Linked DNA regions of Macaca fascicularis. The protein of the gene in region 4 purifies or fractionates together with the protein of the main gene of each other region. This does not show direct contact. Links are inferred from orthologs where the notes say so. Each region holds a gene or a part of one and is shown on either strand. Other genes may lie near its edges. The genes, in order: SSB, TRIM71, DDX50, LIN28A, UPF0488 protein C8orf33, CDC5L and DKC1.

The links.
Region 1: the proteins of LIN28A (region 4) and SSB purify together in Homo sapiens (affinity purification with mass spectrometry; 3 studies listed by BioGRID and IntAct, with this or other methods). This does not show direct contact. The link is inferred for Macaca fascicularis from reciprocal best matches to the Homo sapiens genes LIN28A and SSB.
Region 2: the proteins of LIN28A (region 4) and TRIM71 purify together in Homo sapiens (affinity purification with mass spectrometry; 3 studies listed by BioGRID and IntAct, with this or other methods). This does not show direct contact. The link is inferred for Macaca fascicularis from reciprocal best matches to the Homo sapiens genes LIN28A and TRIM71.
Region 3: the proteins of LIN28A (region 4) and DDX50 purify together in Homo sapiens (affinity purification with mass spectrometry; 3 studies listed by BioGRID and IntAct, with this or other methods). This does not show direct contact. The link is inferred for Macaca fascicularis from reciprocal best matches to the Homo sapiens genes LIN28A and DDX50.
Region 5: the proteins of LIN28A (region 4) and UPF0488 protein C8orf33 purify together in Homo sapiens (co-immunoprecipitation; 3 studies listed by BioGRID and IntAct, with this or other methods). This does not show direct contact. The link is inferred for Macaca fascicularis from reciprocal best matches to the Homo sapiens genes LIN28A and C8orf33.
Region 6: the proteins of LIN28A (region 4) and CDC5L purify together in Homo sapiens (affinity purification with mass spectrometry; 3 studies listed by BioGRID and IntAct, with this or other methods). This does not show direct contact. The link is inferred for Macaca fascicularis from reciprocal best matches to the Homo sapiens genes LIN28A and CDC5L.
Region 7: the proteins of LIN28A (region 4) and DKC1 purify together in Homo sapiens (affinity purification with mass spectrometry; 3 studies listed by BioGRID and IntAct, with this or other methods). This does not show direct contact. The link is inferred for Macaca fascicularis from reciprocal best matches to the Homo sapiens genes LIN28A and DKC1.

What each region holds. Positions count from the first base shown.
Region 1 is NC_088386.1:65,359,470-65,363,399, forward strand, and holds the end of SSB (lupus La protein), read left to right. Parts: coding exon 1-8; intron 9-1,665; coding exon 1,666-1,806; intron 1,807-2,234; coding exon 2,235-2,421; intron 2,422-2,560; coding exon 2,561-2,692; intron 2,693-3,034; coding exon 3,035-3,123; 3' UTR 3,124-3,188; coding exon of another isoform or gene 3,189-3,227; 3' UTR 3,228-3,430; downstream 3,431-3,930. Other genes in the region: rRNA N(6)-adenosine-methyltransferase METTL5, read right to left, coding at 3,189-3,227, 3,825-3,892. UniProt on the Homo sapiens protein: Binds to the 3' poly(U) terminus of nascent RNA polymerase III transcripts, protecting them from exonuclease digestion and facilitating their folding and maturation.
Region 2 is NC_088376.1:15,515,452-15,518,951, forward strand, and holds part of TRIM71 (E3 ubiquitin-protein ligase TRIM71), read right to left. Parts: intron 955-3,500; coding exon 820-954; intron 1-819.
Region 3 is NC_088383.1:77,534,481-77,538,527, reverse strand, and holds the start of DDX50 (ATP-dependent RNA helicase DDX50), read left to right. Parts: upstream 1-1,247; 5' UTR 1,248-1,336; coding exon 1,337-1,423; exon of another isoform or gene 1,424-2,372; intron 2,373-2,495; exon of another isoform or gene 2,496-2,669; intron 2,670-4,047. UniProt on the Homo sapiens protein: ATP-dependent RNA helicase that may play a role in various aspects of RNA metabolism including pre-mRNA splicing or ribosomal RNA production.
Region 4 is NC_088375.1:208,705,608-208,709,107, forward strand, and holds part of LIN28A (protein lin-28 homolog A), read right to left. Parts: intron 2,656-3,500; coding exon 2,471-2,655; intron 1,407-2,470; coding exon 1,190-1,406; 3' UTR 1-1,189. UniProt on the Homo sapiens protein: RNA-binding protein that inhibits processing of pre-let-7 miRNAs and regulates translation of mRNAs that control developmental timing, pluripotency and metabolism.
Region 5 is NC_088382.1:154,739,079-154,743,097, forward strand, and holds UPF0488 protein C8orf33, read left to right. Parts: upstream 1-1,366; 5' UTR 1,367-1,389; coding exon 1,390-1,395; intron 1,396-1,483; coding exon 1,484-1,795; intron 1,796-1,961; coding exon 1,962-2,046; exon of another isoform or gene 2,047-2,116; intron 2,117-2,195; coding exon 2,196-2,342; intron 2,343-2,913; coding exon 2,914-3,053; 3' UTR 3,054-3,519; downstream 3,520-4,019.
Region 6 is NC_088378.1:127,068,972-127,072,471, reverse strand, and holds part of CDC5L (cell division cycle 5-like protein), read left to right. Parts: intron 1-1,237; coding exon 1,238-1,450; intron 1,451-2,188; coding exon 2,189-2,293; 3' UTR 2,294-3,500.
Region 7 is NC_088395.1:160,880,829-160,884,328, forward strand, and holds part of DKC1 (H/ACA ribonucleoprotein complex subunit DKC1), read left to right. Parts: intron 1-999; coding exon 1,000-1,120; intron 1,121-3,350; coding exon 3,351-3,469; intron 3,470-3,500.

The DNA.
Region 1 (3,930 bases), on a different chromosome or scaffold from region 4:
CTGAAATGGTAAGTATATATTACTGCTATCTAGTATATCTGTAATTCATAGTTAAATGAATAGCTTTTAAGTCTGAGGACTTTTTCAAGAAAATATGTAAGCAAAGCTATCTATAGTTGTCATTGCACAGGTATTATATTGAGGGAAAAGAGAACACTAAGGATAGGAAATATGTTCTAAAATACGAAAAGGCCGGGTGCAGTGGCCCACGCCTGTATTCCCAGCACTTTAGGAGGCCAAGGTGGGTGGATCACCTGAGGTTGGGAGTTCGAGACCAGCCTGGCCAATATGGTGAAATCCCGCCTCTACTAAAAATACAAAAATTAGCCAGGCGTGGTGGTGTATGCCTGTAATGCCAGCTACTCGGGAGGCTGAGGCAGGAGAATCACTTGAACCCAGGAAGTGGAGGTTGCAGTGAACCAAGATCATGCCACTGCACTCCAGCCTGGGTGACAGAGTGAGACCCTGTCTAAAAATAAAGAATATAATAAAACACAGGAAAATATATTTTGAAATATTCAGAAAAAGTTCATTTATGCCTAGAACTTATGTTTATGAGAAAATGTCCTCCTATAACTTCTAAAGATTCTAATCATAGATTAATACTTTTTTTTTTTTTTTTTGAGACAGAGTCTCGCTCTGTTGCCCAGGCTGGAGTGCAGTGGCCAGATCTCAGCTCACTGCAAGCTCCGCCTCCCGGGTTCACGCCCTTCTCCTGCCTCGGCCTCCCAAGTAGCTGGGACTACAGGCGCCCGCCACCTCGCCCGGCTAATTTTTTGTATTTTTTAGTAGAGACGGGGTTTCACCGTGTTAGCCAGGATGGTCTCGATCTCCTGACCTCGTGATCCGCCCGTCGTGGCCTCCCAAAGTGCTGGGATTACAGGCTTGAGCCACCGTGCCCAGCTATTTTTGACTTAATAAGATAGTGATGTGTATTTCCATTTAGAAAGTTACAGGTAAAATTTTTTATTTGGGGAAAATAATAATGACTCTTTAAAAAAAAATTTTTTTTTTCTTTTTTTGAGACGTCTTGCTTTGTCGCCCAGGCTGGAGTGTAGTGGCGCGATCTGGGCTCACTGCAAGCTCCGTCTCCTGGGTTCACCCCATTCTCCTGCCTCAGACTCCTGAGTAGCTGCGACTACAGGCACCCGCCACTATGCCCAGCTAATTTTTTGTATATTTTTTTTTAGTAGAGACGGGGTTTCACCATGTTAGCCAGGATGGTCTCCATCTCCTGACCTTGTGATCCGCCTACCTCGGCCTCCCAAAGTGCTAGGATTACAGGCATGAGCCACTGCAACTGGCCTAAAAAATTTTTAAAGTATGATAAATACTGCCTGGAATTATTTTCCAAGATAGTTTAATAACCAGATTTTATGTAGTTTATAACTAAATGCCAGTTGTATAAGAGATCAAATAATATTGAAAGCCATTTTGGGATAAAGGATGACAAAGGAAAACACCAACACTATGAAACTGCTTTATTTATTTATTACTATTATTTTTTTGAGATGGAGTTTCGCTCTTGCTGCCTAGGCAAGAGAAACTACTTTAAAATAGCATTTTGGTTTCTAGGCTCTTTCTTGTATAGCTATAATGTGGTGTGAGTCATTTATGGTCTGTTGCTTTTAAGAAACTTTTTGATCGCTTTGTATATTTTTATAGAAATCTCTAGAAGAAAAGATTGGATGCTTGCTGAAATTTTCAGGTGATTTAGATGATCAGACCTGTAGAGAAGATTTACACATACTTTTCTCAAATCATGGTGAAATAAAATGGATAGACTTCGTCAGAGGAGCAAAAGAGGTTTGGAAACATTCCTATGCTTTTTAGCAGTCAGTTTGAAAATCTGTAGAAACTTAGACAAAATTAGTAGAAAGCAATTTTTAAAATTGTGTTTATTAGTTTCTACTTGATCATTTGTTGTTATTGTCACTAGATGTGATGTCTGATATTTTCTGAATTATACTAGTTTCTACTTGATCATTTACTTTGTTGTTATTGTCACTATATGTGATGTCTGATAGTTTCTGAATTATACTATGAATAACTGTTCATATTGATTATTGCAGTTTTACTTCTGTAGCATTCCTTTTCTACTGTTCAGTAAAGTTCATTGAAACTGGTAAAGGCATGGAAGGTTTGCAGGGTAGAAAAAATTACTTTGAACAAAGAAATTAATTGTGGGACTAAAAAACTAAGGGTATGGCTTTTGTTTTCTGTCTCTGATATAGGGGATAATTCTATTTAAAGAAAAAGCCAAGGAAGCTTTGGGTAAAGCCAAAGATGCAAATAATGGTAACCTACAATTAAGGAACAAAGAAGTGACTTGGGAAGTACTAGAAGGAGAGGTGGAAAAAGAAGCACTGAAAAAAATAATAGAAGACCAACAGGAATCCCTAAACAAATGGAAGTCAAAAGGTCATTTATTCTGATTTTTCTTTAACAGTTTGGTTGTTGAACCCATTTACTTGAGCAAAAACTTTAATCAGTGTTCAAAAACATTGACAAGAGACTTAAAAAAAAATTCTTTACAGAGTGCTCAATTGTGTCTCTACAGGTCGTAGATTTAAAGGAAAAGGAAAGGGTAATAAAGCTGCCCAGCCTGGGTCTGGTAAAGGAAAAGTACAGTTTCAGGGCAAGAAAACGAAATTTGCTAGTGATGATGAACATGATGAAAATGGTGCAACTGGTAAGTTTTTTCCTAAGTCCTTTGGTAGTTTCATGAGAAAATTTGTACTTCCATAAATAAATGATTTGCCAGAGAATAGGGATTTGGCTTTTCAACTTCTGGATAAGTGCCATTCTTGGATTATTATGATTTACCTTGGTTATGCTGTTGTATAAGTCAGGGACAGGATATTTGGAAGATGAATCTAGAGGTCAGGTCTGTACTAAGAGAAAAGCCTTTTCTCATTGGTGCAAGGAAGTTGTTGCATCTTTTTCAACAGTATCATTATTAGTAATTGTACTCAGTATTAAAATAGAGCAGTACTTACGTTGAATTTAACAAAAATTAATTGTTACGTTATAGGACCTGTGAAAAGAGCAAGAGAAGAAACAGACAAAGAAGAACCTGCATCCAAACAACAGAAAACAGAAAATGGTGCTGGAGACCAGTAGTTTAGTAAACCAATTTTTTAATTCATTTTAAATAGGTTTTAAACTACTTTTGTTTGCGGGGGCTTTTAAAAGGAAAACCGAATTAGGTCCACTTCAATGTCCACCTGTGAGAAAGGAAAAATTTTTTGTTGTTGTTTAACTTGTCTTTTTGTTATGCAAATGAGATTTCTTTGAATGTATAGTTCTGTTTGTGTTATTTCAGATGTTCAAATATCAAAAGGAAGATTCTTCCATTAAATTGCCTTTGTAATATGAGAATGTATTAGTACAAACTAATAAAATATATGCTATATGAAAAGAGCAAAAACAGTTTTTTTTTTTTTCTTTTTGTACCCAGAGCATTTAATAAAGAACTAGAATATTAGCTGTTGACCATGGGCCCTTCCCACAGGCCATTTATGGTGTCTCCTAGGCTGTCTTTCTATATTTACACAGGAAAGTTGATAACACTAGAAATAATTACTTGTCATAAAGCTTTTCTTTTTTTTTTCTTTTTCTTTTTTGAGACTGACTCTCACTCTGTTGCACAGGCTGAAGTGTAGTGGGGCAATCTCAGCTCACTGCAACCTCCGCCTCCTGAGTTCAAGCGATTCTCTTGCCTCAGCCTCCCGAGTAGCTGGGATTACAGGCATGAGCCACCACGTCCGGCCCAGAAAACTTTTCAATACCGAATGTAGACCAGCCAAAATCAAGAGACTTACTGATTTCTTTTTATGAAACTTGTATGATGCTGGCAGGTCATATCGAAGCTCTGTAAAACAAAAGCCACCTAAGGATAAAATTATATTTCCAAGCATTTACCACCCT
Region 2 (3,500 bases), on a different chromosome or scaffold from region 4:
ACTAAATGGAAAATGCAATGCAAAATCCAGCGATGCCTTGCAGAACAGTGTAGGGCACAGTAGTTAGCAAAGGTCACTTGCAGAAACTGAGGCCCATGCCCACCATCATCATATTGTTTGGAGATGGAAACAGGCACGCTCCACAAGGATACTCTTTTAAGTCAGCTCTAGCCTTTTTCATGTGTTCAGAGAATGTAATTATAGCTAAAGAACTGGCATGGAGTACTGGCCCTTTCATAGACATAACTCTCCTCCTTTCTGAGCGGGGACATAAAATCAGAAAAGGAACAGTTGGAATGCTGGCCTGGGTGGGGCGAGTAGTCCTTCCAGCTGATTTTTATCTAAACCGCACACTGGTGTGCTCGGCACTCCTTCCTGCTCCAACAGGAAGAAAGGGCACACACTCACTGCCTCCGAAGAGGAAAACTGGTTTTCCACAAGAGATCAGGAAGTGCAACCAGCCAGGTCACCGAAAATAGGGATGCTTCCTACCAGCCTGCCTTTCTGAACAACAGTTTTGACTATGCTCCCTTCTTTAGCCTCCCTTTGAGTGAATGCAATATAAAACTGGAGACCGCTTCACCGCTTCCAGTCTTGGCTACCCATGTACTTCTGAAAACCCTTCTTGTTTTACCGCACACAGCACCCACAATGTTCCAGGGACCCCCTGCATCTTTCTGCCAACAGACTTTCTGGAAAATTACCAAATGTTTTACACTTAAGAGCTTGGCTCCTGGATCTGAAAAGAGTCCTGTAGAGCGCTGCTGGGGTTCATGGAAGCCAAGTGGGCACAGCGTGGGTGGGGGAGTGCTCCGTTACCTTCCACAGCAGCTCGCACTCACGCTCCTCCAGGGCCTTCTTATGCCTCGCAGTCACCGCTTTGACCTCCGACTGCACAACCTTCGCCTTCATCTCCACCTGTTCTGCCACCGTCTGGGCCTGCTCGATGCTCAGCTGCAAAAACAAACAAAAAAAAAACAACTTCGAGGCATTAGAAGGACTGTCATTCCTTATACAAAACATTTGAATCTGCTCTGCCAGACTTGAAAAGCTGACACCCCGGGCTCCCAGACCACTTGATTCACTCCCTTGGAAGGAAAACAGGCACTTAGGGAGAGACTGGCATCTCTCTGACATGTAACTAAAGGAGTTGCTGGCAAGAGCTGGATTTCTTTGCATGAGAAATGGCACCTACACAGTGAATGTCAGAACTATTAAGAGATACTCTAACACAGTGAAACCAGTGTAGCTGGGTGACAGCCGAAAATGGGGAAGGAGGATCAGATGTAAAATGTGCAACTCCAGCCACACAAGTGGCTTCCCCAGACTTCCCTGCCTCACTCTCTTGCCTGGGCAAAACCCCATAGGCCAGGCCCATCCCTCACGTGAGGGTGTGCGATAGACTAGTGGCTAATCCATCCTGTTTTTGTCAAGGTACTGGCAACACAGCTCATCTCAGCCAGAACGAACGCCAAGTGCACACTGGGAATATCCCCCGATCTACCTAAGAAGCTGTGCCCCGTGGTCAGAGACCATCTACACGTCACCATACACGTCACCCTGTACCAGCCCTAGTAAATCAGCCAGTTTAATCAGACGTATTATTGTTCATAAAAAATTAATCCAGACAGAAGGCATGGTGTTTTCATTAATATTACATGCTGTGTCTTGAAAAGCCACAAGGATTTCTTTGAGATACCGAGGTATTAAATCAGGGATTCCAAAGTGATTGCTCTTGGTGCAACAGGTTTCAGGGCAGGTGATCCAATCAGGAGCGTGTCAGGGAAGCACAACGGGTTTGGAGCCTGGCATGGGCTTAGGAATCAGAGTGACCAGTCACCCAGTTTGCTCTGGACTGAGGGGTTTCTAGGATATGGACCTTTCAGTGCTAAAACTGGGACAGTCCTAGGCAAACCAGGCTAGTCAGTCATCCCTGGAGTCAGGTAACCCAGGTTCCAATCCTGGGTTAGTTTAGGGCCTCTTACTAGTTGTAAGGCCTCGGACAAGCTCCTGGTCTTCTCCAACCTTGGTAAAGGGGAGATGTGAGGGAAATGCAGAGCAATGCATGGGTTGAGCTGAGCTCAGCACCTGGCACAGAGTAAAACACTGTTATTAGTAGTTCTCATCTGATAAACACCTGGGACAAAAGTTCAGCCATTGTGTCTCGTCAGGCCACTTAGCTCCTATCATAAGATTTACCATGAGTCACATTTAGTATGTGCAGTGTTGTGTAATCATCACCAGTACCTAGCTTCAGAACATTTTCATCACCCAAAAAGCAAAGGCCATAACCATTAAGGAGTCATTTCCACTTCCCTCCTTCTCCACCATGGCGATCACTAATCTACTGTGTCTCTACAAATCTGTTCTGAGCATTTCTCCCTCCCTCCCCCCACCCCTTCCTTCCTTTCTTTTTTTAATAGAGATGGGGGAATCTTGTCATGTTGCCTGGGCTGGTCTCAAACTCATGGGCTCAAGTGATCTGCCCACCTAGGCCTCCCAATGTGCTGGCATTACAGGCATGAGCCACTGCGCCTGGCCTGTTCTGGGTATTTCATATAGATGGCATCATCATACAATACACAATCTACCTTATTTTTATGAGTATTCTTCCTGCCCAACAGTTTGACTCAGTCTGGATGAGAGCTGACACATTCATGGCATGCAAGACACGCTCAAAGGTACAGCCCCAAAAACACTCATGGTGGCTGGGCACAGTGGCTGACGCCTGTAATCCCAGCACTTTGGGAGGGCGAGGCAGGCGAATCACTTGAGCTCGGGAGTTTGAGACCAGCCTAGCCAACATGGTGAAACCTGGTCTCTATTTAAAACAAAACAAAACAAAACAAAACAAAACAAAACAAAAAGCACACCACCCATGACTCCAATGGTTAGCGGCCACACTGCATTCCCTGCCTAAGAGGATCCTGTGTGTCCTAAGGATCCACTGAACTGATTCACAGGGGAACTGGGTAGATCCAGAGGGCTCACAGGCTGTCCCCAGCCTGGAATGCTTCACCCTAAATTTCCAAACCCAGTTCCGATGCCACTTCCCTTCTGAAGCTGGAAGGGAACAGCATATTTCTATAACCTTTCTGCTCCACCTTTACAATCCTGTCTCAAGTACCATTACATATCAATCAGAGGAGGAGCTAAGTACAAAGCCCATGATACTTATGACACCTGGGATTTAGCAGAACAATTAGCAGAACAGTCTATAAATTTTATATTTGCCCATCTCTAGCCATAATCGTGTTTACCAAAGCACTAGGTAGCTGCGTCAGGGTAAACACTGTCCCTCCAAACTCTGGGCTCAACTAAATGGGGGCCAGGATGTGACCTTGTGTGGAAATACGGTCTTTGTAGATATAATTAGCTAAGATGAGGTTATAGTAGATTAAGTTGAATCTTAAATCCCAAAACTGATATCCAGAGAGGGTCATGTGCAGACCCAGATACACAGAGAACAAAGCCATGTGAAGACCAAAGCTGAAATGGAA
Region 3 (4,047 bases), on a different chromosome or scaffold from region 4:
ACCTAACAATTTGTAATTTTGCTAGGACACAGTTTGATGCTTAGGTTTTAAGGCGGTGTGCTAGACGTTATCAAGAGGTTTATGAGTAGCCCTGTGTCTCCATTGGGTTGAGTAGCTGGGTTGAAAGGATCATGAAGAGATGAAGAAATGACTGTGAAAAGGCAACTAGCTAGCCTCGGTGATAGTAAGCAAAGGTATACAAACACACTAAGGAAGTTACCATTTGTATTGTCAAAGGTTTCAGTTTTGTGTAAGGTGATTCACGGGCAGTTAATCCCCATCGCTAAAATTAAATCATTTTTTACTGCAAATAGATACTCTGTGGAAGACATTTTGGCTCTTTCGGCTAGCAGAAAATGTGAGGCTTCTTCGGGTTTTTCCTGTAGTTTCATGGGAGCATCTTCCCCAAAACACTGCAAAACAAAGTTTTCAGGTTGATGTGGCAGAGAAAGCACTGATCTCGGCTTCAGGAGCTGAAGTCCCTGGTCCTGACTGTGCCACTAACAGGCTGTGGGACTTCAGACAAATACATTCCTATCTCGGGTTTCTTCTTAGGTCAAATGGACAGCGTGAGAAGGATCACAATGAACCAGTGACCAACTTCACGATTAAAACCTAAGACTTCAGGGACAGACATCTGTCCGTTCCCGGCTATACCTCCGACCCATCTGGCCCACCGCAAACTTCGAAAACCCAGTCTCCACCGTCGCCAGGCCCGTGGCCTCGCGCTAAGCCGTTGGTCGTTAACATCTCCCCCGCAATGGGCGGGGCGGAGGGCTTCAGCTTCCGGCGGCAAATAGCGAGGCGGCGCGTGGCGGTGCCCACTGGCCTCAGCGCAGACCTGCCCACGCACCCGCCCACCGCGCGCCGGACAGTGTCTACCCACGTCGAAGGGCTTCCCAGCCCCAGCAGTGAACACTGGGAAGCCCCCTTCCCAGCCCCAGCAGTGAACACTGGGAAGCCCCCAAAAAACTATGCGGGGCCGTGGAGACCAGTTCGGAGTGGGGGAGGGGAAGATAAACCGAATTATTTATGCTAACCAGTGCGTGCTTTCCTTATGGAGATTGGCCAGGGCTTTACTCTAGTAGCCAATCACTTCACAATAAGGGTGGGCCAGTTGAGATCTCTCACACTCATTGGTTCAGAAGTTGCGGCGCAATGGAAGGACTTAAACTGAGAGTATCCGGGATTATTTTTCCCCGCCGCGCGGTGCGTGTCCCGGAAGTGACGCACGGCCAAGGCCGGGCGGCCGCCCTGCCCCCGCTTCCTTTCACGCTGTCGCTGCCCGTAGGTGGTAGTGGCCACTGTGCCCCGAGGGAGGCGGCGGTGGCCAGTAATGCCTGGGAAACTCCTGTGGGGGGACATTATGGAGCTGGAAGCACCCTTGGAGGAGTCCGAGAGCCAGAAGAAGGAGAGGCAAAAGGTGCGCTGAGCATGGGCCGCGCCTCCTTTTGGGCTGCGCCGGCTTGGGCGGGGAGGGGAACTGTCTGTCCCTGATGATGGCCTGTCAGAACCGGGCCGGAGCATCTGAGGGCCTCTCTTCGCGCCGCCCTCGGCCCTCTGAGGTCGCTCAGGGACCATTTCCACCTCCATACTCCCGACCTGGATAAAGATGGCCCTGGGCTTTGGGCCTCACCCCCGCGTGGCCCCTCAGCCGTTCCCGTTGGCGCCTGAATCTCAGAGATGGGCAGACTCAAGCTCGCATCACCGTGGAATCTGTTCTTTCTCTCCATAAGCAGTGACGCCTGTCATTTCGTTCTCATTGGCCCTCTTAGAAGATAATTAAGAAAAAATGATTGCTTTGAATATGTGTTGCTTCTGTCACTCTGTCCCCTGTGCAAGAATCCTGGGGAAAGCGATCTTAGGTTTACAAACCTCCATAACTATAGAGGCTTAAGGAAAAGTGTGACGGTGAGCCTTGCCAGGATTTGTCAGTGATGGAGATCGTGTGGGTTGCATTATTAATAGCTTTTACGGTCAGTATTTTCATTCAATCCGCAGGTGTTTATTGAACCTAATTTGTACCATACTCTTTGCTGAGCACCAAGGAGGTTAAACTAAATAAGTAAAGAAATAGTCCCTGCTCTCAAGGAGCCTGTAGAGGAGTTGTAGTCTTTCCTCCTCCCACCCCCATGGCCTCCAAAAAAAAAAAAAAATAGGAAAAGGAAAAAACATCCTGAAACACTCAGAGGATCACAAGGTGCTGAAAAATGCCCAGGTAAAATTATTACTGGAGACACTTGACCTGGAAAAAAGAAATCAGCTGAAGAGGCTAAGGTGGCAGTATTCGGAGGCTGACATTCAACCAAAGAATGAGACTTACTTGTATAGCCTTAGAAAGCAGAATCTACCTCTCTGACCTTATCACTAAGGTAAACTTGCCATTCCAGCTAACACTTTTCTTTATTGTGCTAAAATATACGTAACATTTATCATTTTAACCATTTTTAGGTATATAGCTCTGTGACATTAAGTATATTTACATCGTTTTGCAGCTGTCACCGCCATCCATCTCCAGAACTTTTCATTGTCCCAGACTGAAACTCTGTGCCCATTAAACACTCACTTCTCATTCCTCTCTCCTTCCACTCCCGGCAACCACCATTCTACTTTCGCTCTGTGAATTTGACTACTGAAGGTACCTAGAGTGTAAGCAGAAAACCAAGCAGGTATTTTTAAAAAGGCTTCTTTTGAAATTCTTATGTTTTGCATCCAAATCCTGTCCACCCGTCAAGGCCTAGTTTATGTCTTTCCTAACAACCCTAGTTTACAGTTACCTAGTTTCAGTGGCTATCTTTATCATTTGATTGATATTTATTATGCATTTCTATGTAAAATTAGTTCATTTTTCCTATATTATGCCACATATTTCCGAAAAGTTCTTGAGGAAAATGACCAAATCGTTTTCCATCCTTATGTTTCACTATATTGTTGTAAATTGGTGGCTTTCACATTGTAAATTCTCCAGAAATACGTGTTGACAGCCCTTTAACTATGAAATATAACCAGAGATTTGGAAATGGATTGGAATACCAGCTAAAAGAAATGGAGCATTAGAATACTGGTCTGGTGGCTAGCCGCAGTGGCTTATGCCTGTAATCCTAGCACTTTGGAACACTAAGATGGGAGGATTGCGTGAGCCTAGGAGTTTTAGGTAGAGTTTTGTAGAAACCCTGTCTCTACAAAAAATGAAAAAATTAACCAGGCGCGGTGGCTCATGCCTGTAATCCCAGCACTTTGGGAGGCTGAGGCAGGCGGATCACCTGAGGTCAGGAGTTCAAGACCAGCCTGGCCAACACAGTGAAACCCTGTCTCTACTAAAAATGTAAAAATTAGGCCGGACGTGGTGGCTCTGTCCTGTAATCTCAGCACTTTGGGAGGTTGAGGTGGGTGGATCATGAGGTCAGGAGATCGAGACCATCCTGGCCAGCATGGTGAAACCCCATCTCTACTAAAAATACAAAAAAAGACCAGGTGCAATGGCTCACGTCTGTAATCCCAGCATTTTGGGAGACTGCGGCAGGTGGATCACCTGAGGTCAGGAGTTTGAGACCAGCCTGAGCAACATGGTGACACCCCGTCTCTACTAAAAATACAAAAATTAGCCGGGCGTGGTGGCAGGCGCCTGTAATCCCAGCTACTCAGGAGGCTGAGGCAAGAGAATCACATGAACCTGGGAGGCTGAGGTTGCAGTGAGTCGAAATCGCGCCACTGGACTCCAGCCTGGGTGACACAGCCAGACTCCATCTCAAAAAAAAAAAAAAAACCCCAAAATTAACTGGGTGTGGTGGTGTGTGCCTGTAATCCCAGCTACTCGGGAGGCTGAGGTATAAGAATTGCTTGAACCCGGGAGTCAGCGGTTGCAGTGAGCCAAGATCCCACCATTGCAGTCCATCCTGGGCAACAGAGCAAGACTCTGTCTCAAAAAAAAAAAAAAAATTAGCCAGGCATGGTGGCAGGCGCCTGTTAATCCCATCTACTCGGGATGCTAAGACAGGAGAATCGCTTGAATCCAGGAGGCAGAGGTTGCAGAGAGCCACGATCACA
Region 4 (3,500 bases):
CTGGAGATGTAAAACACGTCCTGTGCCCTAGGATTAGACAACCCTCACCTAATCTTGGCTTGCTCTCTGGGCCTTTCACTTGGCCCAGCCTCTGCTAGCCTCTGTACCACCATTTCCTGTTTAGACTAATTCCCAATCTTCCAGTAGGAGGCAATCAAGTCATGGGGCAACCCAGTTAAAACCTAGTCTCCCATAAAACATTTTCAAGGCAGAGGGGGTTTCAAGAGGACACTATGGCAGAAAAGCCAGCTCTTATTGGCAAAAATGAGGTAGTTCAATAGGCTGTGCACTCCAAATAGTTGCTCTCCATGGTGGCAAAAACAACAAAAAGTATTCCTGCTGCGCAGACCTGGAGCTGCTGCCGGCTTATCCCTGAGATTGCTCATGTACCTGAGAACACAGTGCAGGAAATGAGGGCCTTAGATTAAAATATACAAAAATACAAAACCAGAATATTTATATTAAGGGAAAAAAAGGTTAAAATGCACAAGATACGTCATTCGCACACAGCTAGTGCAGTTGGCATCCTGGAGAAAGTGGGATCCAAGGTGCAGTATCCAAGGGAGCAAATAAATAAAATCACATTGGCTCAGAATGGGGCAGGAGTGAGCACAGGAGCAGCAGGTCTGCAGCTGTTCCCCCAAACACCCTTTTTGCCATCATCATTACCCATTGCTTGGGACAGTTGCCAGCACCCTATCCCAAAAGTGGGTATGAGGATACAAGATGTGAAAAAAAAAAAAAACACTGCTTACTCCTGAGAGATTCCCTTCCACAGAATGTAGTGGCTTGTCTCCATGAATCTGGTCTTATACTTAATCATTTCACTCTGGCATGGGAATTATTATATATCCTTCTTTAAAAGGAAAACAACTTCCCTATCCAGGCCACTTTCAAAAGCTGGAAATTCTGGGAATGGAGCCTCAGATAAAGTATGCAGGTTGCAGGGTGATTCCCCCATCCTGGTTGCCCCCAGAACCCTCACTTGCATTTGGACAGAGCGTGATTGGAGTTCCTTTGACTCACCCTTTCCCCCCACCTAGAGGAAAGAAAGGGTGATGGTGTGAATCCCAGCCTGAGATACATGGCAGTGCCAACTAGCCCCAATGCACCCTATTCCCACTTTCTCCACTCTGCCTGCTCCTCAAAACTTCCTGATAGCAAAAGAATAGCCCCCACCCATTGTGGCTCAATTCTGCGCCTCCGGGAGCAGGGCAGGGCTGTGAATTTCTTCTTCTTCCTCCCGAAAGTAGGTTGGCTTTCCCTGTGCACTAGGGCCCTGCTGGGCCTTCAGCGGACATGAGGCTACCATATGGCTGATGCTCTGGCAGAAGTGGCACTTCTTGGGCTGGGGTGGCAGCTTGCATTCCTTGGCATGATGGTCTAGACCTCCACAGTTGTAGCACCTAGTACAAATCAAGATGGTAAAAGTAAGAGAAAGGAGCAAGAAGAGGCCAGATGATTCCCATGAATGAGGACACCTTGGCTGTGGTACAGGTTTGTCACTTACTTCCCTTCCCAGAGACCAAACTTCCCACTTACAAAAGGAGGACTATTACTAAATGATCTCTTAAGTCCTTTCCACATCTAATTGTCTAGGTGATCTCTTCAGATTCATGTCAACTTGAAAATACCAAGACACCAGAAATAGAAGTTACTGACCCCAACTGGGAACTGCAACTTGGAGGATAGGAGAGATTCTTCCATACCCTTAATATAAGAGAAATTAAAGAAGCCAAATTATAGTATCTGTTCAGAGCTAAGGGGCTTTAAGACCAAACAAGATGGCCGGGCGCAGTGGCTCAAGCCTGTAATCCCAGCACTTTGGGAGGCCGAGACGGGCGGATCACGAGGTCAGGAGATCGAGACCATCCTGGCTAACACGGTGAAACCCCGTCTCTACTAAAAAATACAAAAAACTAGCCGGGCGAGGTGGTGGGCGCCTGTAGTCCCAGCTACTTGGGAGGCTGAGGCAGGAGAATGGCGTAAACCTGGGAGGCGGAGCTTGCAGTGAGCTGAGATCCGGCCACTGCACTTCAGCCCGGGCGACAGAGCGAGACTCCGTCTCAAAAAAAAAAAAAAAGACCAAACAAGATTAAGGAAACCCGCCATTTGCAGACCTGGTAAAGCAACAACAGATACAGATAATACTATCTTGTCGCATCATTTGCAAATCCATGATTTCCTTTAATTCTAAAACCATCCTAGGATGTTAGTATCACTGGCCTCACTTAACAATTGAGGCTAGAGCCCACAGAGCAAACTTACTTGTCCCAAGTAGAAGCACTAAGTCACCCCCAGTGCCCTCCTCACCTACTGCCCTTGCCCACACCTATTGCAGGCACTCAGCCTTCCAGATGCTGCCAGGGACCACAGGCTTCCCTTCGTGTTTTGCTGTGTGACCCAAAACTGACAGGATTGGGAGACTGGGGATGCTCCAGCAACCTAAAAGCTGCCTTCCAGTCCATACCTGTCTCCTTTTGATCTGCGCTTCTGCATGTTCTTCCCTTTTGGCCGCCTCTCACTCCCAATACAGAACACCCCACCAGGTCCGGTGACACGGATGGATTCCAGACCCTTGGCTGACTTCTTAAAGGTGAACTCCACTGCCTCACCCTCCTTCAAGCTCCGGAACCCCTCCATGTGCAGTTTACTCTGGTGAAGGGAAATAACATTAGTTTCCATTATTACACCGAAAGACCAGGAGCACTTATTCCTGTAGGGCAGGAATCAAATGTGATGGTACTCCTATTTTACTGGTAAGGAAACTGACTCAGAGTCACTACAATTACGAACAACAAAAGTCTACCAGTACATTAACAAAAATCATAATTATATAAGCAGATGCCATGATATTTTATAGCTATTAAATTAAGAATTTAAAGTTCTTTTTTTTTTTTTTTTTTTTTTTTTTTTTTGAGACGGAGTCTCGCTCTGTCGCCCAGGCTGGAGTGCAGTGGCCAGATCTCAGCTCACTGCAAGCTCCGCCTCCCGGGTTCCCGCCATTCTCCTGCCTCAGCCTCCCGAGTAGCTGGGACCACAGGCGCCGCCACCTCGCCCGGCTAATTTTTTGTGTTTTTAGTAGAGACGGGGTTTCGCCGTGTTAGCCAGGATGGTCTCGATCTCCTGACCTTATGATCCTCCCATCTCGGCCTTCCAAAGTGCTGGGATTACAGGCTTGAGCCACCGCGCCCGGCCTAAAGTTCTTAATAAAATAGAACAGAGGGCCTGGCACGGTGGCTCACACCTATAATCCCAGCACTTTGCGAGGCCGAGACGGGTGGATCACCTGAGGTCAGGAGTTCGAGACCAGCTTGGCCAACATGGTGAAACACCATCTCTACTAAAAATAAAAAAAATTAGCCAGGCATGGTGGTAGGCACCTGTAATCCCAGCTACTTGGGAGGCTGAGGCAGGAGAATTGCTTGAACCCAGAAAGCGGAGGTTGCAGTGAGCCAAGATCATGCTACTGCATTCCAGCCTGGGCAACAGAGTGAGAC
Region 5 (4,019 bases), on a different chromosome or scaffold from region 4:
ATTACAGGCGTGAGCCACCGCGCCCGGCCAATCTGCTGAATTTTGGGGGTAATCTGCCACACTGCAGTAAATAACTACCAGCGATGACCAAACTTTTACCCTTCCAGACCTTGCAGACCAGGCAGCTAACACTTCCCATCCCACGGTCTCAGGAAACACCACTTTCCACTCCTGTGTCCCCGACAGGAATCATCAGACAAGTCGAACTCTCACCTTCTCAAGCAACACAACCCACCCTCCTGGCCTAGCCCGCTCCTGAAGCCTCACTCAGTCTCACCTCAGCCCCTACGCAATTCCTCTCAGTTGTCAGGCCTCCATCGGCGGGGGTCGAGTGTTGTGTGTGACCCCAGGTCTCCAGCAAGGTATAGTGGGAGGGAAGCATCCGGGAGAAGAGAGGTGGATTGGCCTCTCCCTCTCCCCCATACCGCCACCCTCCCTCACGCCCATATCCTGTCCAAGGCTCTTCCCGCGTCTGCTTCTGAAATCCCTCCACATCCCTCCACCCCATGTGCCCTACTCGTTGCACAGGAGCAGAGAGAACCGCAGAACACACGTCTACGATTATGCCACTCTTCAGATTTACATCTTGCAGCAACTTCCCACTGCGTTAGAACGGAAGTAAACCTCCCAACTCACAGACCTCACCCGAGCCCCCACGTCCCGCGTCGCCGGCCTCTCAACCGACGGTGCCCTGATCCTCTCGGAGCGAGCGCCGCGGGCTGCGCCGGGTCCCAGGCCTGCGCCTCTTCCCCATTTCCCAGGGGTCTTTGCCGACCACCCTCCTGCGCCACAGCTGCTCAAGTTCTGTTTACTTGCTTTTCCCTCCCCACCAAAAGGTGAGCCTTGAGAAGACACACCCTTGTGTAGAGCTTTGAACTTTTATCCGGAAAGGTGCCGGGCACATAGTCGGTGCCCGGGAGCACTTGCGAGACCGCCCTGCAGCCTCTTTCCGGATCCCCCAGGCACCCCCGACCCCGGCCTCGCCCCACCCTGCCCTCGCCCCAGCCCCGCCCTGCCCTCGCCCCAGCCCCCGCCCCAGCCCCGCCCCGACCCTGTCTCAGCTTCGCCTGGGCTTCATCCCGCCCCAGCCTCGCCCAGCCCCTCCTCTCCTCTCCCCGCCCGTCCCCTTCCCGCCCCCGCCCCGCCTCGCCTAGCCCCGCCCCAGCCCCGTCCCAGCTTCGCCTGAGCCAGGTCCCAGCCCCGTCCCACCTTCGCCGCGCCCCAGCTTCATCCCGCCCCAGCCTCGCCCCTTCCCCTCAGGGCCCCCGCGCCCCGCCCCGCCCCGCCCCGCCCGCGACCCTGCGGAACCTAGAGTCGCAGGCGCCCTCTTGGAGGACGGAATTCGACGTCGGACTCCGCCTCGCGTAGTTCCGGTGGCGACTGCGGAGCATGGCGGTGAGCGGTGTGGAGAAGACGCGCGGGTGGCTGGGCGTCGCACTGTCGGTGGCCCTCCGTGACCCTCGTGCTGCCCCCCTTTCTCCAGGCCCTAGGACATCTTGCCGGGGAGGCAGCGGCGGCCCCAGGCCCGGGTACTCCCTGCGCGTCCCGCAGACACCGGCTTCCCGGCCTGGTTTCCAGCGTCCGGAATCCCTCCACTGTCTGTCTCTGCCCAGGGCAACCCACGAGCAGTAACGCCGACCCCAGAGCGCACCCGTTAGGCGATGAAGGCAGTGCAGCGTCGAAAAAACAAAAGAATAAGAAGAAAACCCGGAACAGGGCCTCTGTGGCAAATGGAGGCGAGAAGGCCTCAGAGAAACCCGCCCCAGAAGAAGTGCCCCTAAGCGCTGAGGCCCAGGCAAGGGCGGGCGTCAGTCAGGAAGGGTGGAATCCCCTAGTGCGAATCCACGGGCACATGTGATCTGGGGTCCGCAGAGTTAAGGCGGGGAGGGGGATGGGATGGGGCCAGGCGCTGTTTTGTGTCCCAGTGCCCTCTCACAGCCACTTCCCCAAATCCGTCACAGGCGCAGCAGTTGGCCCAGGAATTGGCTTGGTGTGTGGAACAACTGGAGCTTGGCCTCAAGAGGCAGAAACCCACCCCAAAACAGAGTAAGGGACCTTTCTATAGAGTTGGGGAATGTGAAGAGTGGCACCGCCTGGCCTGCAGGTGCTGGCAGAGGTGAAGTTGTTTCCTTTGCGGTGGGGCGGTAGGAGGTCAGTAGTAGAGGTTTTCACTAGTCCTTTGTTTTTATTCGCAGAAGAGCAGGCTATTGGAGCAATCCGAACCCTGCGCAGCAAAAGAACGCCCCTGCCCCGGAAGAGGCAGTTGATGCACTCCTTGTTTGGAGACTATAGGGCTCAGATGGAAGCCGAATGGCGTGAGGCCCTGCGGGCTCTCAGATCTGGTGAGGAGCTAGTAACTGGTTGATTTAGGAAGGCCTAATTTAAGGAGGAAGTGCCTAGGGGGTGAAAGGAAGAAGGCCCAGAGCAACAAGGCTGGTGGGGGAAGGAGATGAGCTCAGGGAAGCCTGAGGGAACAGGGAAAGAGCAAGGATGGACCTGTCTCTCCTTTTCCCAGGACTGAACCTGGGAAGCAGCGGGGAGGTCATGGGAGGAGCGGGAAAGAGTGTGACCCTGTGTTGGTCCTGCTCCTGGCTTGGGGAAAGCTGCGTTATGTTTTTGTGTCTTGGCTCTCTCTACTGGCAACGAAGCCATATCCCATAACAGTTTGAGTGCAATTCCTGGAGCCAGATGAGCTAGGTTCAAATCCTGGATCTACCACATAGTAGTACTAACACCTTTTGCAAACTACTGAACCTCTCTAAATGGGCGGTGATAGTAATATCAACCTTACAAATTTGAGGAATTAGTTAATTTATTCAAAGTGGTTAGAATTGTATGGGCAAACATAACTGTACAGGTAATGTTAGCTGTTGTTATTCAGTTCTCACATACGCTGCTTCTCTCCCCTGACAGCTGCTTATTTAGCCCAGGTGCAGCCTGTAGATGGAGCCACCAGAAAGAAGAGCCGAAGGGTCTGCAGGCCTCGCCCTATAGGGCGAAGCAAAGCCACTCTGGACACTCCTGATGAAGAGTTTCGGTTCAATTTCTTTTAGCTTCTCCCCCGACCTGGAACATTCCCCCTCCCTTGGGGTGGTGTAGGGGTTTGTTTTGAGTGCAGAGCCTTTTCAGGACTTCTGTTGGCAGAGAACCCTGGGGTTGGTCTGTCCCTGGCTGGTCCAAGTATTTAGAGCTGTTGTGAAGGTGTGAGACCATCAGATAGGCAAAAGACCCCATTTGTTTTGTGATGAAATGTTCTCTCTTTCAGAACAGAGAGAGGTGCATTTAGAAAATATACAATAAATTGAAGTGACTGTTTGAAGTATTGTAGAAAGAATATTGTACTCAGTCTTTAGGATTAGATTAAGTGGCTGTTGGTAACAAAGATTAGTGGAGAAGCTATATAATTATACACTGTTTTTCACTTTTGAAAGGAATTCCTGTCAAATGGTTTAGTGCTTAATGCTGTTATGTCACATTGCCCTAGTCTTTATTTTTGATAAAATTGGATAACGAGTGAAAGAGTGTGCTGACCACCTGTGTTAGAGGAAGTACAGAAGACGGCAGGGGTCTGGTTCCCTGGGTCCAGTCCCTTGCCTCGATCCTTTGTCCATGTTGCCTTCATTCCTGAGCAGGTGTCATCCTCAGGGAACCAGCATGGCAGCCACCAGGCATGGCTGTCTTCTCAGGAGGAAGGAGCTTCTTGCCCTAACAGTTCTGGCCTGAGACCTGGATTGAGCCTCGGCATGTTGGAACCGAACTGTCGATTCCCTCCTGGGCAGGGGTTGCCGCGAAGGATTACCGACACGAGATTCACAGCAGAGAGTTATTTATTACTAGCGCGCTAGGGTCCCAAGCTCTAAGTTGGCCCTGGGACCCCGACTGCTTGTTACAGGTTGTTTATATAGGCAAACACAAGTTTAAACACAGCTTATGGCGTGAAATTTAAACAAAGCTTAAGGCACAAAATGATTGGGTCTACCTATGGCCTGAGCAAGGTGTTTTATGCTAATTGGTTAGAG
Region 6 (3,500 bases), on a different chromosome or scaffold from region 4:
TTTTAGGAAGAATGAGTAGGCCTGGAATTATCAGTGGGATGTGCTGGGGGAAAGGCTCAGGATATGCCAAGTTCCTGCTCAGGCTGCCTGAGGGGTACTGTTTATCTCCCGCATTAGCTCTCTGATGCAAGTTAGAGGCCAGGCTGTCAAGTAGCCACTGGAAGAGTATGTGGTTATAAACCCTTTCTGGAGAGAAAATGAGAGCTGCATGTTCCAGACTCTTTTCTTCACTGCTCCCAGAGAGTGTAGCCCTAGAAAGTATTTGCACACCTGTTTAAAACCACCTCCTTGTTTTCTGATCTAGAGAGACATGCATATGCTTAGTCTCTTCCATTACCAGATCTAGGAGATTTAGGATATAGTCCTTTGGGTAGATGCTGTGCAAATTGAGGCATTTGATGTGTGGATAAACTCCTTCTAGGAGGAATTGGTAGGCCTAGAGTTACTGCTGGGGCAGACTAGGGGGAAAGGCTTGGAAAGTGTCCAGCTGCTGCTTAGGCTGCCAGAAGGCTACTTTTGCACTCCACTGTCCCATTAACTCCCCATGCACGTTAAAAGCCAGGCTGTCAAGTAGCCACTGGAAGACTGTGCCATGAGCCCCTTCCAGGGAGAAATGTGGAGCTTCATGTTTTTGGCTCCTTCTCTGCACTGCCCCCAACGGGTGCAGTCTGTGAAAGTACTTGCATGCTTGATTAAAAGTATCTCTTTGTTCTAGGGATGTAGTGATCTAGGAAGACTTGCACTAGATCCCTCAGCTCCCAGAGCCAGGAGATTTAGGATGCAGGCCCTGGGATGGAAACTGTAAAAGTTGGGGTCTTGATGTGTGAACAGACTCCCAGAAGTACATTTTTGGGATATAGATGATGAAGATGGCTTGTAGCTAGTCCCAAAATAAATATGTTGAATGATAGCAGAAGTCATTTTCAGAAAGTAGGCATTAGTTTTTCCCCTACTGTGACATTCAAGCCCGCTTTGAGGTTCAGTCATGGGTCAAATTATTATAAATAGATTATAGATTATTTGGTACTCACCTATAAAACCCTTTAGGTGCAAGATAAATCCTTCTTAAGCTTGATTTTTTTTTTTTTTTTTTTTTTTTTACAGTAGTTGAGCTATAAGGAGTTCTAGTGTATTTTTGCTTTGAGGCACATGCATGAACGAATGGCACCTTTTTAGCCCTTTATTTAATAGCCTACTTTTCTCATGTATGCTGATGTGATCTTCCCCTGCTCTCCAGATAAACAGGGGTCACATGACGACAGAAGCCAAGAGAGCTGCAAAGATGGAAAAGAAGATGAAAATTTTGCTTGGGGGTTACCAGTCTCGTGCTATGGGGCTCATGAAACAGTTGAATGACTTATGGGACCAAATTGAACAGGCTCACTTGGAGTTACGCACTTTTGAAGAACTCAAGAAACATGAAGATTCTGCTATTCCCCGGAGGCTAGAGGTAACGTTATATATTGAAGCGTTGCTTTAAAAGAGTGCTGCAAAGAATTATCAGGGCTGTCCTCTTTTACTTCTCCTATGTAGGCTGTCTCTGAAGTTGGTACTGTCAGGCTTTTAAAAATGAGAGCCTAAAGTGTTTGACTTTAATCTAGAATTGCCTCTGTGTAGATGGATAGACTAGGCAAGTTGTAGATACAAAGGCCTTCCTTTACTCATGTTCTGTTTCATACGTAGATACACTGTGAAATGGAATACTTAGCCCTTGTAATTTGTCCCCTTGAAACTTGATCACATCCCATTCGTGTAGCTCTGTGAGGGGAAACTAAACCAATATCTTTCTGTTTTATAACTTAGGTGGCTGGGAACATAGCTAGTCCTTCCAAACCATCAAATTCCTTTGACCGGATTTGGATTCAATTTATCTCCCAAATGTGCATAATAGCTCCTGTCCAGCTAAAGGGCAGCCAGGGCTTCTTGAAGTGCATTTGTGGGTACTGATAAGACAGTAGTGGTTTGTTTATTTGAAGTAGCAGCAGGATTTCATATGACCAAATCAAAGAATGGCTGTGATACTGGTTTTATAGCAAAAGTATTTGATATGTTTGTTTCTCTTTGAGAAATTTTTACCTCTTAAGAATCATGATTTAACTCGGCTGGTTTTTAAGATAGTAAAGTACTGTAGATTTTTTTCAATATAGTTACATCTAAAAGAATTACTTAATATTTTTGTTTCTTTAAGTGTCTAAAAGAAGATGTTCAGCGACAACAAGAAAGAGAAAAGGAACTTCAACATAGATACGCTGATTTGCTGCTGGAGAAAGAGACTTTAAAGTCAAAGTTCTGAAGTACAGTTTATATTCTGTCACAGGATTAATTGCCGGTTTTCATACTCTAGAAGGCTGAAACTGATGTTTATCTTCATTGACAAATTTACCCACCATCTGTGGTTTTTTGGTTGTTTATTTTAAATGATATCGATCTTACACATTCTGTGTATAAAGACCTTAACTCCACAGGACGGACATTTTAGAGTTTAAATTATTAAGGCTGTCATTCTTTTAGCAATGTCATATTTGCAAACTTTTTTAGTTTTGGCCTTTAATTTAAAAAGCCTAATTTTAAAGTGCTGCCTGTGAGTAACTCTTAAATAAAAACAAAATATAAAAAATTGAGAATGTAGCCTTTTGTTTTAAGTAATTAGATACTTAAGAGTGCCCGCAAACCAGCAGCTATGTACTCTGTGTCATATTTAATGAGTAACTCTTGGGTAATCAAAATGGTGATGCAGTATCTTAAACACTTAAGAGGCAGTTCTTTGTGGCTTTGTTAGTTTCAGCAAAGAATGGTCATTTCTGTGTACACTGATGAGTTAGATTAACTTTTTAGTACCTCAAATTTTTTTAAAATATCACTTTAAAGAAGGTTTCTTCTCCTCCAGCTACTTAAATAATTTATGGGTCAGGGCTTAAAATATTTAATTTTCCTTGACCCATTATTTTCTTGTAAGTATTTTTTGACAAAGGCATTTTAAAAGTTAATTTCAAGAAGGCCATCAAACTTAAAGCTCTATGTTTAGCGTAAGAAGTCAGTTACATCAGTGTAGAATGTGGGGAATGGATAGAGGTGGAGAGATTTAATTTTATAATAATTCATATAAATTAATTTAGTGTACAGTATCAGTTGGCTATGAGCTCATTATAGGCCAGCAATGTTTTGAGATGACCAAAAACATTTGCCCAGTCTTAGAATACTAGGAACTATAGGAAGGGAAGGGATTCATTCATTCATTCATTCATCAGATATTGAATGTATACCCTGTGCCAGAGTTTTAGAGAGAGAACAATGAACAAAATAGGCCTAGTTCTTGTTTAGTAGAGCTTATAGTCTTTTGAGAATAACAGACAATTAAAATCCAAATGTTTATTTGGTGATTCTTATGTGTCAGACACTTACTTAAGTGTTGGAGATAAGCAGTTATTAAGACCGAGTTCTTGCTGTCATGGAGGTGACATTAGTGGGGAGGAGATACTAAATATGTACAGGGAAAGTAT
Region 7 (3,500 bases), on a different chromosome or scaffold from region 4:
TAAATACTGAAAGATGGCACCATAATAGTTGAAAAAACTCAGTCACAAAACAGTGGACAACATAAATGTGATAACCTCTCCTTATCAAACCATTGGCTTCTGGGTGAATGTAAAGGGAGGGTCAAATGTGATCAGCAAAAGAGATCTAGGTGAGTGGAGATGGCATGAGGCAGATGGGTGCCTTGGGCACCATTGAACTTCTGGAGAGGAAGCCTTAAGTTGTACCTATTGATCTATAAATTCTGCACCAAGACTTTTGTGTGATTGGTTCAACAGGCCTCAGTAATCTTGTTTTCAAGTTCTTTAGGAGCCTGTTATTGCCTGGATCTCTAGTAAATCTATTCTTTCTCCTGATAAGGAGGAGAGAGGAGCAGTTAAGGAATGCCAAGGCTATTTTTATGTTTAAAATGAAAATACCGACCAGGTGCAGTGACTCACACTTGTAATCCCAGCACTTTGGGAGGCCAGGCCAGGCAAATTGCTTGAGCTCAGGAGTTTGAGACCAGCCTGGGCAATATGGTGAAACCCTGTCTCTATTAAAAATACAAAAATTAGCTGGGCGTGGTGGCGCATGCCTGTAATCCCAGCTACTTGGGAGGCTGAGGCACGAGAATCACTTGAACTCTGTAGGTGGAGGTTGCAGTGAGCTGAGAACGGGCCACTGCACTCCACCCTGGACGACAGAGGGAGGTTCTGCCGGAAAACAAAAAATAAAAAAATAAAATGAAAATACCTGTGAGTCTCTAGAACCTGAAAACCTGAAAGTCTTCTTTACGACTTTTAAGTCGTGTGTGTAAAGTGCAGAGAGTGGTGCCTAGCACAGTGAGGTGGCTGTTGCTCTTCTGAGTCCCTTCATGCCCCTTGCAGCTAGTGGGCTATCAGTGCCATCCCTGTTTCATGGTGTCAGACCCCACCCCCTTGTTGTCTTCCTTTACTCTGGTGTGGGAGTGGGTTGGAAGGCAGCAGCTGGGCCCCTCACACATGGTGCCATCTCTGCAGGTAAATGCTATCTGCTATGGGGCCAAGATCATGCTTCCAGGTGTTCTTCGATATGAGGATGGCATTGAGGTCAATCAGGAGATTGTGGTTATCACCACCAAAGGAGAGGCAATCTGCATGGGTAAGAGGGGATGTTTATTTTTTAAATTGTAAATGTTTGTGGTTACATAGTAGGTGTATATATTTATGGGGTTCATGAGATGTTTTGACACAGGCATGCAATACATAATAATCACATCGTGGAGAATGGGGCGTCCATCTTAAGCATTTCTCCTTTGTGTTACTAACAATCCTATTTTACTGTTAGTTATTTATCTATCACCTTAGTTATTTTAAAATATACACTTAAGCTATTGATTATAGTCACCCTGTGACTATAATCTATCAAATAGTAGGCTATCAAATAGTAGGTCTTACTCGTCTTGTTCATTCATTTGATTTTTTTGTTTTTGTTGTTGGTGTTTCGTTTTTGTTTTTGCTTTTTAAGAAGACAAGAGTCTTGCTCTTTCGCCCAGACTGGAGTGCAGTGACGTGACTTTGGCTCGCTGCAACCTCTGCTTCCCAGGTTCAAGCAATTCTCGTGACTCAGCCTTCCGAGTAGCTAGGATTACAGGTGCACACCATGACACTTGGCTAATTTTTTGTATTTTTAGTAGAAATGGGGTTTTGCCATGTTGGTCAGGCTGGTCTTGAACTCCTGACCTCAGGTGATCTGCCTTTATTTTTTTTTTTGTACCCATTAACCATCCCTACCTCCCTGCCAGCCTCCAACTACCCTCCCAGTCTCTGGTAACCGTTCTTTTACTCTTCTCTGTCCACGAGTTCAATTGTTTCGATTCTTAGCTCCCACAAATAAGTGAGAACATGCAATGTTTGTCTTTCTATGCCTGACTGATTACACTTAACATGATCTTCAGTTCCATCCATGTTGTTGGAAATGACAGGATCTCATTTTTTTTTAAGGCTGAATAGTATTCCATCGTGTATATGTACCACATTTTCTTTATCCATTTATCTGTTGATGGGCACCTCGGTTGCTTCCAAATCTTGGCTATTGTGATCTCTTTGATAACACTAATTTCCTTTATTTGGGGTATATACCCAGCAGTGGGATTGCTGGATCCTATGATAGCTCAGTTTAGTTTTTTGAGGAACCTCCTAACTGTTCTCCATAGTGGTTGTATCAATTTACCTTCCCACCAACAATGTACAAAGGTTCCCTTTTCTCCACATCCTTTCCAGCATTTGTCATTGTCTGTCTTTTGGATATAAACCATTTTAACTGGAGTGAAATGATGTTTCATTGTAGTTTTGATTTGCATTTCTCTGGTGATCAGCGTTGAGCACCTTTTCATATGCCTGTTTGCCATTTATTTATCTTCTTTTGAGAAGTGTCTATTCAAATATTTTGCCTGTTTTTTGATTGGATTATTAGATTTTTTTCCTATAGCGCCGAGTTCGTTATATATTCTGGTTATAAATCCCTTGTCAGATGGGTAGTTTGCGGATATTTTGTCCCGTTCTTATGCATATGGATATCTAGTTTTCCCAGCACCATTTATTGAAGAGACTGGTTTTTACCCAGTGTATGTTGTTGGTACCTTTGTCAAAAATGAGTTCAATGTGGCTGTGTGGATTTGTTTCTGGGTTCCCTATTCTGTTCCATTGGTTTATGTGCCTGTTTTTATGCCAGTACCATACTATTGTGGTTACTGTAGCTCTATAGTATAATGTGAAGTGAGGTAATGTGATTCCTCTAGGTTTGTTCTTTTTGCTTAGGATCACTTTGGCTAGTTTGAGTCTTTTGTGGTTCCATGTAAAGTACCAGTGTTTTTTAACTCGTGAAAGCTTAGCTACTGTTGGATTGTCTCTTAAGACTTTAAATGCTCTGCACCCTCTTAGCGAATGAACCTTAGAGCTATTCATTTAATGGGTCCAATATGTACCAGAAGTAAGCATGTCATCAGGATTCCTTAGCTCTGTGAGCAGGCAGGCCAGCCATGGCCTATGGACAGCAGCAGAAAAGGAATCCTTAAAACTTCAAAGGTTCTGTGGCCGCAAAGGGAGTGTGCATGCCATTCCTATAGATGTCTTGAGCTGCAAGCCTGTTATGTGTATCGTTAGGTGCTTTGGTTAGGTGTTTTTTAACTTGAGAAGTTTAACATCATTTCAGAAGCCTCCTTCTCATAATGGGGGATTTCTTCCATATGCATATCCTGAGCAAAGGAAACCCCAATTAAAGTAGTAGAGCTCAGAGTTTTGAAAGTGGCATACAACAGTAGAGTTGGGGCTCATCAATTATCAATTCTTTCCCCCTTCAAATAATTCTTTTCTTTATTCAATGCCTGTAGCTATTGCGTTAATGACCACAGCGGTCATCTCTACCTGCGATCATGGTATAGTAGCAAAGATCAAGAGAGTGATCATGGAGAGAGACACTTACCCTCGGAAGTGGGGTTTAGGTCCAAAGGTAAGTGGTACTGGGTTGCGTGCTCTGCCAG